Cricetulus griseus: one gene and its partners. The protein of the gene in region 1 purifies or fractionates together with the protein of each later gene. This does not show direct contact. Links are inferred from orthologs where the notes say so. Each region holds a gene or a part of one and is shown on either strand. Other genes may lie near its edges. The genes, in order: Bsg, Atp2b4 and Gnpat.

The links.
Region 2: the proteins of Bsg (region 1) and Atp2b4 purify together in Homo sapiens (affinity purification with mass spectrometry; 3 studies listed by BioGRID and IntAct, counting the BioPlex papers as one, with this or other methods). This does not show direct contact. The link is inferred for Cricetulus griseus from reciprocal best matches to the Homo sapiens genes BSG and ATP2B4.
Region 3: the proteins of Bsg (region 1) and Gnpat purify together in Homo sapiens (affinity purification with mass spectrometry; 3 studies listed by BioGRID and IntAct, counting the BioPlex papers as one, with this or other methods). This does not show direct contact. The link is inferred for Cricetulus griseus from reciprocal best matches to the Homo sapiens genes BSG and GNPAT.

Annotation. Positions count from the first base shown.
Region 1 is NC_048598.1:100,520,484-100,523,064, forward strand, and holds the end of Bsg (basigin), read left to right. Parts: coding exon 1-43; intron 44-127; coding exon 128-267; intron 268-539; coding exon 540-816; intron 817-1,230; coding exon 1,231-1,255; intron 1,256-1,499; coding exon 1,500-1,563; 3' UTR 1,564-2,012; downstream 2,013-2,581.
Region 2 is NC_048598.1:55,393,697-55,397,448, forward strand, and holds the start of Atp2b4 (plasma membrane calcium-transporting ATPase 4), read left to right. Parts: upstream 1-1,340; 5' UTR 1,341-1,716; intron 1,717-3,752. UniProt on the Homo sapiens protein: Calcium/calmodulin-regulated and magnesium-dependent enzyme that catalyzes the hydrolysis of ATP coupled with the transport of calcium out of the cell. By regulating sperm cell calcium homeostasis, may play a role in sperm motility.
Region 3 is NC_048596.1:201,628,800-201,632,269, forward strand, and holds part of Gnpat (dihydroxyacetone phosphate acyltransferase), read left to right. Parts: intron 1-716; coding exon 717-796; intron 797-1,409; coding exon 1,410-1,550; intron 1,551-2,482; coding exon 2,483-2,582; intron 2,583-2,662; coding exon 2,663-2,756; exon of another isoform or gene 2,757-2,784; intron 2,785-3,470. UniProt on the Homo sapiens protein: Dihydroxyacetonephosphate acyltransferase catalyzing the first step in the biosynthesis of plasmalogens, a subset of phospholipids that differ from other glycerolipids by having an alkyl chain attached through a vinyl ether linkage at the sn-1 position of the glycerol backbone, and which unique physical properties have an impact on various aspects of cell signaling and membrane biology.

The DNA of each region.
Region 1 (2,581 bases):
TTCCTTCCTGAGCCCGTGGGCAGGAGCAACATCGTTGTGGAGGGTAACCTGGGTAGCTAGGGTGTGGTTGGGGCGCGGGGCCGAAGCAATTTGCAGGCTTGGGCACCAGGCTCTCCCCTCATCCCAGGGCCACCCAGGATCAAGGTCGGGAAGAAGTCAGAACATTCCAGTGAGGGAGAAAATGTGAGGCTGATCTGCAAGTCTGAGTCATCTCACCCCCCTGTCACTGAGTGGTCCTGGTTTAAGACCTCTGACTCTGGGGACCAGGTGAGAGCTGTGGTGGGAACATGGGGTTCTGGCAGTGGCGCAGCAGAAGGGGGTCCAGGGCTCTAGGAAAGGGAGAGTTGTAATGAGAGACAGTGGAGGGCTGTGGTGGACACAGTACTTAGGGATGAAAGGGGGTGGGGAGACGCGGGGCTGTTATGGGACATGAGGCTTCAGGGATGACTGACAAAAAGGGTTCATGGAGGGGTATTGTGGGGCTCTTGGAAGAGTGAAGGAAGGGCTATGGTAGAACATGACGAGCCCCTCTTCCCCAGCTGATCACCAACAGCTCTGAGAGCAAGTACGTCGTGATATCCACAGCTGACAGATCAGAGCTGACCATCAGCAACCTTGACATAAATAGTGACCCTGGTACCTACATGTGTAACGCCACCAACACCCAGGGCAGTGTCCAGGAGATAATGACACTGCGTGTGCGAAGCCGCCTAGCAGCCCTCTGGCCCTTCCTGGGCATCGTGGCTGAGGTCCTGGTGTTGGTCACTATCATCTTCATTTATGAGAAGCGACGGAAGCCGGACCAGACCCTGGACGGTGAGCATCCCTGGGTCTGGGTGAGTGGGTGGGACACCCTCATTGTGTCCACCTGGGGGAGAAACGTGATCTGCTCCTGGCTCATCGTCCTTTCTCCTCCTCCACTTGGCCACAAGCTAGTCTCCTCTGTGGTGAGCTCTCCCCAGTGGCTCAGACAGCAGCTGTGTGGGGCTTCGAGCTATGGGTGCCTCCAGCGGTGGGCTGCACAGCGAGCGTGGGGTTTGGGATGTGTTGGCCCCGCCATGTGCTGATCACCAAATGCATGACACCTGTGCATCACCTTGAGGGTGGCAATGCAGGGCAAGGTTCAAGCAAGCCCGACTGAGGGAGGGACCGCTGCTGGAAGAACCTTAGTGGGTACTGACACCTGTCTCCCTCCCCCCCCCTCTCTCATGTGGTTGCTCATCATCGCAGAGGATGACCCTGGTGCCGCCCCACTGTAAGTCCAGCTCACTGCGAGCCCTCGGGGGAGCTGCTATTGTCCTGTAGGAACGGGGGAGGGGGTGTCCAATAGAGTGCATCCATCTTTCATGGCCTCAGTGGATTCAGGGAAGGTAGATGGCTCCTATTGGAACAAAAGGCAGCTTGCAGACTCTGGCTGGGGGGGGGGGGGGGGGCGTTGGTGGTGGTGGTTGAGGCCAGCCCTGAGCCTCAGAGTGCTGAACCCTTTTCTGTATCCTCAGGAAGGGCAGTGGTCATCACATGAACGACAAGGACAAGAATGTACGCCAGAGGAACGCCACTTGAGTGGCAGAGTAGGCGGGGTGGGGGTAATCTGGGCGCCTAACCCCAGCCCAGCATCTACCTCCACTCCCATACTGTCCTATCCTGTCCTAACCCGTATCTATCCACCCCAACCTCCTATCCCAACCTGGGTGAAGACAGAGCCTCGCCTTGCAGAGTAAGCCCACCTGGAAGAAGCAAGCCACCCGCAACACCCGTTTCTAGTTTAAACGAGGTTTCTATACAGAGAATTCGTTCATTAGGGGTTTCTGTTGTTTTCGATTTTTCCCTCCCTTTTTAGTAGTGTCACTACTGCCCTGTAGAGTGGGGGAGTGGGGCCTTGTCCTTGTCCATGAGGCCAGGCCAACCTCCCGGCTCCACCACCTACTCCTCTGTATGGGACTGCCCATCCCCACCATGGGCAACATGGGCTGGGTCTGCTGGGACTCCACAAATAAAGACCTACCCCACCATGTGTGTGTTCACTGTGGTTTCCCAAAGCCCATCTTTATGGGATAGTGAGCGTTGAGATCAGGGACGGCTTGAGATGTGGGCAGTAGTTCTCAACCTTCCTGATGCAATGACCCTTCCAACCAACCATAATTCATTAAGATTTATTTGTTTGTTGGTTGGTTTTTCAAGATAGGGTTTCTCTGTGTAGCCCTGGCTGTCCTGGAACTTGTAGACTAGGCTGGCCTGCCACTGCCACTGCCACTGCCACTACCTCCTGAGTGCTGGGATTAAAGGTGAATGCTACCACCCCACCATAAAGTTATATTCACTGCCACTTCATAACTGATTTTACTACTGTTAAGGAATCATAATGTAGATATACGAATGCAACCCTGTGAAAGTATCCTTTGACACGCAAAGGAGCTGAGAGCCACACTGGCCGAGTATGTCTGAGCAAAGTTGGCCTCTTGAGGGCACTGTTGACCACCGCTGGTGTCCTGTGCTGCCCTCTGGCCTAGTGTGCTCGGTTGTGGGAAATGGACGCCACCTGGGGGCCACAGGATTGACAGCTTCAAGCCGAGCTGGTTTT
Region 2 (3,752 bases), about 45 Mb from region 1:
TTGTTCAAGACAGGCTCTTGTTTGCTGTGTAGTTATAGCTGGCCTGGCTCCCACTGTGTAGCCCAGGCTGGCTTCAAATTCCTAACAGTCCTTCTGTCTCAGCCTTCTGCTTGCTAGGATTACAGGTATACTCACCATGCCTGGTTAGGTACTGGAGCATTTTTGAAGCTCTATTAATAGGTTGGGGAACCGTAATAATCCCCTTCTTCCCCTATACAGTACTCTATAACCTGTGAGGTTGTGTTAGCCTGCCTTTCATAAGCATGTAAACATGAGTGAGTATGTCTGCTGAGGTAGGTGTGGGAATGTATCCGTCAATGAAGATGTGTTGTGTGAGCCAGCTGATGGTGCATGTTTGTACTTGAAAGCCATAAGGTTCCATGCAAAAGCTATGGGTGGCACTGTTGCACAATGCTGGTGGGTGTGTGGCACGGGGGTGTGATTAACAGTTTATAGGCTGTGTCTAAGTGTGTACGGATGTCTCAGTGTGTACGCGCTAGGATGGAAATGTGTGACATAGTATGATACAGGGATAGGGAAGCACATAGTCTCTGGAATGGGTCTGATCTGACTTGCCCCTGAATCCTGGCTGTCATTAACCAGATGGGTAACCTTGAGCAAGTCGCTCAATCTTTAATTTCCTCAACCATGAAACCAGGACAGTAATGAGTACCTTTTTGAGACTGCCACCAGGGCTAAAAACGATATTGTAGATGCAAAGATTTGGGTGTTCAGCCACACACAGGCGAGCAGCCATTCTATGCCCTGTGGACATGCCTTTGGTTGGGTACACAAGCAAGAGAGAGCAAGATGTGACCTGGGTCTGAGGGTGAGGAGGCACCTATGTGTGTGGGCACCCTGAGCAATTGCCTCGTCTTTGACAGTGAACTCCCAGTTCAGACTGGGTCAGTAGGGCAGATGCCCACAGCCTCCTGAGGTTTCGTGGTCCTGAGTCTAAATCAGTATGAGAATGAGAGGCCTGGAGGAGCTGCAGGAAACAGAATGGCTTGCAGACACTTCCTTTATTTCCCCTCCACGCAGCAACGGTTGAAGACCGCTGCCCACATCCATTCCCACCTCCACCCACACCCACGCCTGCTCTGCTCCCCTTTCAACAAGTAAGAACCAGCGCTGGGAGAAAGCCAAGAGGGCAGAGGATTCCCCCTACCCTTCCCCATTCCCCCTTAAGACGGACCAAGAAGCATCATTCCGCCGCGCCTTGCTCTCGGGCTACCTTAAGAGCTGAGCAATGCTTTGGCCTCCCGCCAAACCCCACCCCCGCCGGCTCGCGCTCCGCCCCTTTCTCCTCCCGCCCTGCTGGGGGAGAGCTGGGGAGCCCCAGTCTGGCCAGAGTTGGCTGGAGCTGTTGCCATGACAAGCATTTTCTTAAGACAGCTCTTCTGTTGAGACCGTCCTAGGCTGGGGGTGGGGTGGGAGTACGAACTTCCTGGGGGACCATCCCTCCGAAGACGGCGAGGTCAGACACCCGCCCAGCTCCCTGCACCCATTTTCTTCCAGGAAGGTCCTTCGCGTGGAAGGGCTGGGGAAGAAGACTCAGTCCACTCCCCCAGCTGTGGCCAGAGAGCAAAGCCAGCATCACTAGGTGGTTTGCCACACTGGGGAGAGCGGTGGGTGGTCACCCCACCCTACTCGGTCCATGGAAACGCTGAGGGAGAGTCCCGCTTGGAGACACCTGAATCTTTGCTAGAAAGAGAGGTAGGTTTGCAGAGAATGAATTGACTCTGGGATTTGCAAACTTTGTTTCTTTCTTTCCTCTCAATAGCTTCTCAAAGTATCCGAATTTCCTCATGCTAGCAAATTCTGGGAGGGTGGGGTGGTGGAATAGGAGACAGAGGTGGGGGGAGAAAATGAGAATGTCTTCAACACTGTATTCTTCCCTGGGTTCTGAAGAACCATCTAATCAAACAAGTGATCCCTTTGCGTTTTCCTCTGGATCATGGGATGGGTGGGGAAATGGAGGGACTGCCTTTTTCTCACCCAAATTAAGCTCTCGGAACAAGTATTTATTCCAGCCGACCCCCATCCGCTCCTGCTCTCCCCCTCCCCCTCGGCTTGGGAACCAGCCGCAGAATGGAAAACTGTTGCGGAAAAAAAATATTTTCCGCGTCTGTTCCCTTTCTCGAAAGCCCCAAAGAGAGATGGGAAAAATAGGACCAAATAAATCTTCAGCGGGAAGGAAGGCCTTAGCGCCAAGGAGGGAGCTCACGGGGGGGGGGGGGGCGCATAAGGTGGAGATAGGCTAGGAGAAGTTGGAGGGTGAGAACCAGGAGTGCACAAATTAAATTTCTTTGGCTTTGCATAGAAACCTCAGCAGTTTCTCTCTGCGGCTTACAAAACATCCTCAGACTTTGACGTCTATAATTAGCTGTGGAAAAAGCTGGGAGTTCCCTCTCACTGCTGTTGTTTGAGTGAGCGTAAGCGTCCAGAACCAACTGTATGAGTGTCTCTAAGGGCACCGCCCCACGCATCTCTGATTCTATAGGGAAGGAAAGAGAAGGGGCACACTGAAAAGTTTTCAGTTTCAAGCCCCAGGCTGTGAGGTGGCCGGCTTGGGCCTCTGGCATCTTGAGAGGGTCCCTGAACAGATCGCTTTAGAGATAGACACTAAGGCTGGAGTTGCTCCCTCTTTCTCCTCTCTCCCTGTTTTGGTAGTGCGGGCCGGCTGGCGTCTTTCCTTGAGATGAGTCCAGCCTATACTCTGGTCCACCTCTAGAAGAATGCCTACTTGCTTCTCTCCAGCCGCGTGGGGAGATGGGAGGAGGGGCCCAGCAAATCCTGCGAGCAGGGAGAGCGCGCCCTGGCCGGAGGCATCTTCTTCCAGGGTACTCCTGCAGGACGCACAATGCCCTCCGGATCTGATGCTGGCCAGGTGGGCTGGTCGGGTGTCAGGTGAAGAAGTCAGGCGGCTGCTGTGACGCTGAGAAGGAAAGAGAAGTGGGGAGGGAGGGAAAACGAATTCCCGTTCTGCAGGCCATCTTTTCCTCCAGTTGGGGTGTGTGGCAGGGAGTCTTCAGATTCACTCCTTCCATGCTTGACACCCCCACCCACCCACATGAACTCCCCTTGTTCCTGGCTCTTCCCACTTAAGAGACCCTTTCCTATAGCACCCCCCTGGTCTGGGATCTCCTTATCTGGAAGGGAGGAGACCAGGGTTATTTCGGGCTGGGACCAGCATGGCAAGGGGCCTAGGGGAGAGAAGAATTTCAAAACAGGAGGACCCTATAATGTGGGCTATGAGAAAAGCCTTGCTGAGAACCTGAGGAAGAAATAGAAGGAGAGGTTAAAAGGTAGCCAGGGAAGCCACCAGAGCGAGCTTTCATTTGCAGGTGTTTGGTAATGGATCAGACCCTTTGGCCACTCTACCCCACCTGTGGTCTGATCCCAACAAGAATTGGTGCCCTTCTTCTATCGGAAGGGGAGGCGGGAATCCCGGGGGAGGGACCAATTCTGGTGGATAAGGATGGCTGCTGCCTGAGGTGTCTGCTTAGCGCGCACTAGGGTGCCTGTTCTAATGGCCATGTGTCCTGGGTCTTGGGCAGCTGGGGAGACCGCTTTTCAGCCCAGCTGTACCCCCACCTCTCCGAGCCGTGAGAACTGCAGGGTTGGGAATACTGCAGCAGAAGCTGGATCCCTCCCGTCTAGCAGCGTCTGTGACCTGCCCTATTGTCAGCCTCTCAGCAGCCCGGCTCCACCCTCTGGCATGGCTCTGCCCTAGTCTGAGTACTCAGAGG
Region 3 (3,470 bases), on another chromosome or scaffold:
TGCCCTCTGATTTTCCATATGCATGTTTGGTGCATTCAGTATCCTTAGACATACACACACAATAAACTAGCACTAGCTGTGCCTGTTAAAAATAAGGGCAGTTAGATCCAGAGAGTCCTATAATTACTAGAGAGGCTCCGAATTAGGAACACCATTGCCCAGGTCCTGGTCCGATGCAGTTTTTGCTGTGACAGCCCTAGCAGAGGCAGATAGGACACCACCACTGTCACTGTACAATGCACAGTGGTGTCAGATCACAATGAGGTGAAATGAGTTATGCAGGCTGGGCCTACCTAGATCTGCCTGAGGATAATGGGGTTCCACCCCAGAGAATATCCTTCAGTTTGTCTCGGGGGCACACCTTGGTGTGTGTGTGTGTGTGTGTGTGTGTGTGTGTGTGTGTGTGTGTGTGTGTGTGTGTTGACCCAGAAACACAGTCACAGTAAAGAAATGGTAGACAGGAGAATAGGAGGCAGCTGAGGAAATTCTAAGGATGATGGCATCTTGCCCATTTCTAGATTGAGGGATTTGAGGCCTTGTTTAATTCAGCCCTTTTAAACTCTGCTGGACTCTAGTCTGTCCTTCAGATAAACTTTGGGTTAACTTCAGCTTCCTTTAAGGACTTAATTATTTCCTTGTTACATTCGTACACACACATTTGAAGGACTACAAGATCAAAAGCTATGTCTTAATGTTGTGAAATGGGTTCTTTCCAGAGGATGTCTTCAGTTGCTTTTCCTTTCTACGCAACGTGTTTTCAGATGAGTTCATCTTCCTTCCAGGAAACACACTCAGGGTAAGTTCTGACAGCTCAGAGCAAGCATGCCACGGTGCATGTTCCAGAAGTGAGGATCCCTGGCATGCTCCAGCACAACAGCACATTTCCTCTGAGAGTGGGCCTGTGGCGGGCCTGCCTGGCAATGGGACAGCTGTGTGGTCTGTGGCTTTGCTGGTATGGGCAGAGGCAGGCAGATAGACAGAAGGTGCTATATGTGTGTTAAGGAGAGGGTTTTCCTGTGCTCTGTGGGAGTTGGGTTGGGAGAAGTGAGGACTGGCAGGTTTTCTGGTTTTGCTATTAAATTTAAGGAAGTGTTTCAGTGTCAAGTGAAGAACACCTGGTGTGTGTGTGTGTGTGTGTGTGTGTGTGAGAGAGAGAGAGAGAGAGAGACAGAGACAGAGACAGAGACAGAGGGGGGAGGGGGAAAGGGAGGGAGAGAGGGAGATTCTGTCTGTCTTGTCTCCCGGGCCACAGCTTCACAGATGCTGTATTTTTACATGTTTGAGGGTTGGCACTTGAGTGTGGGAACAAATGCTCCCAGCTTCAGTGCATAGTCAGGTGGTCCTGCGGAGCTGTGGGCCTAGTGATGTTGGGGTACACATACATATGTGCCTCCCCTTTCCCTTTCTAGGACTTCGAGGAAGGCTGTTACTTGCTGTGTAAAACTGAGGCTATACAGATGACTGGGAAGGCCATCATCATCACAAATAAAGGGAATGCTGTGTTAGAATTTCTCATAGGGCTCTTTAAACCTTTTGTAGAATCATACCAGGTATGTGAAGTTTGCAAATGCTGAATATCTCCACATTAGTATTGTAAGACTTTATTCCTGAAATTACTTCTGGTGTGGGGGGTGAGCATGTGCCAGTTGAATAGTGGGCCCAGATAAGTAAGTTCCATGTCTACTCAGGGACAAGCAGGAGGGGCTGGGCCTGTCATTTTCTGAGGGTAGCACCCCTGTGAACCCATGATTGCACACAGAACTACATTCATGCTGTGTCTTCCTGTGTTCTTTGTATGGCTAATGTTGATACAGAGTGGTCACTAAGTGAGCACAAGACTTGAATGCCTTCTCCTTTCATTGTACTGAACACTCACTCTGCTTCCAGAAGAAAAAGAGCAAGATCCTGCACAGACACCCAGGAAAGAGCATAGGACTGGTTTCAGACACTGCACTGCGGCAGTATTCTAGGGAGGGAGGGAATTTGAAATGCATATGGTTGGGTATATAGGCATTTCAGAAAAGAGGCATCTGTGACTCTTAACTCATTGCTTATATACTGACTGTGAGCACCTGTGATGGGTGGACAATGGTGACTAATCCCAGAGCTGACCTCGTCCCACACTTCCCACAAAGTCTAGCATGGGATGGGCACTTGATAAACTGGGAATCAGCCAGTGCTTGAGGGCCTGCACTCTGTGCACTCAGAAGGACGAGTAGGTCCTCTCCCCAGGCAGCCCAAGATATGAAACTGGAAGTGATTGTCTTGCAATCAGCTGAGATGAGAAATTAAACTCTTGACAAATGTCATTTCAAATTGTCCTTTTCTAATTGTAAAAGCTGCTGAAAGTTCAAAAGAGCTATGTTAGAAGTTCTGCAGATTGTGGAGGTGTTATTCTTAATGAGGGCAATTTGGCCATCATGCTCTTGTATTTGGCTACCCCCTTTCTCTGTGTTCCATTCATTCTCCCTCTTGAAATCAGATAGTTTCCAAATACCTCTTACATGAAGAAGAAGACTGCTTCACTGAGAAACAGTACTTGGTTGCAGTTAGGAAGTTCACCAGTCAGCTTCTAGATCAAGGTCAGTCACATCTCATCTCTGGGTGGTGGTTTCTCAGCTAAGAATAGGAATGATCGTTTGCCCTCTTCCCCTCTTTGCAGGCGCCTCTCAGTGTTTTGATGCACTGTCTTCTGACCTGCAGAAAAATGCCTTAGCAGCTTTTGTGAGACTCGGAGTGGTAGAAAGGAAGAAGGTGTAAGTACCAGGTGCTAATGGGGTCAAGGTGAGGAATGACACTGAAGCCCAGGACCCAGTGACACAGGAATGTGTCTTTCATGAAGTACAGTGCTGTTTCTTTTCCTCTTGCCCTCAAGATCAGATCAGTACAATTTTCCAGGGAACCTCCATGTCACAAAATTATGAATGAACTCTAGCCCAGGTTTGGCTTGACCTTAGACTGCATTTCCTAGATTAATTACAGAAAAGAGTATAGGTAATGTGTGTGGGTGTGTACATGAATGTATATAGATGAAGAAAGACAGATCTCCTAACTGAATGAGTATCCCAGTGATAAAGTTGAAGCCAAACTCAGAATTGTATCCTATGTGATCAGAAGGTAGGGGTGTGTGTGTGTGTGTGTGTGTGTGTGTGTGTGTGTAGAGCAGTGGTTCTTAACCTTCCTAATGCTGTGACCCTTCAATACAGTTCCTCATTTGTGGTGACCCTAACCATAAAATTATTTCATTGCTACTTCATAACTGTAATTTTGCTGCTGCTGAGTCACAATGTAAATATCTGATATTTGATCCCTGTGAAAGAGTTAGGAGGTGTGACCCACAGGTTGAGAACCACTGGTAATAGCATCTCCTGAATGAGTAAGTATCTTGAAGCCAAACTGTCATAGTTGTGTATCTCCTGTGGTCAGAACAGGAGCACAAAGCCTTTCAGCTACTTCAGACTGGGGCTGTG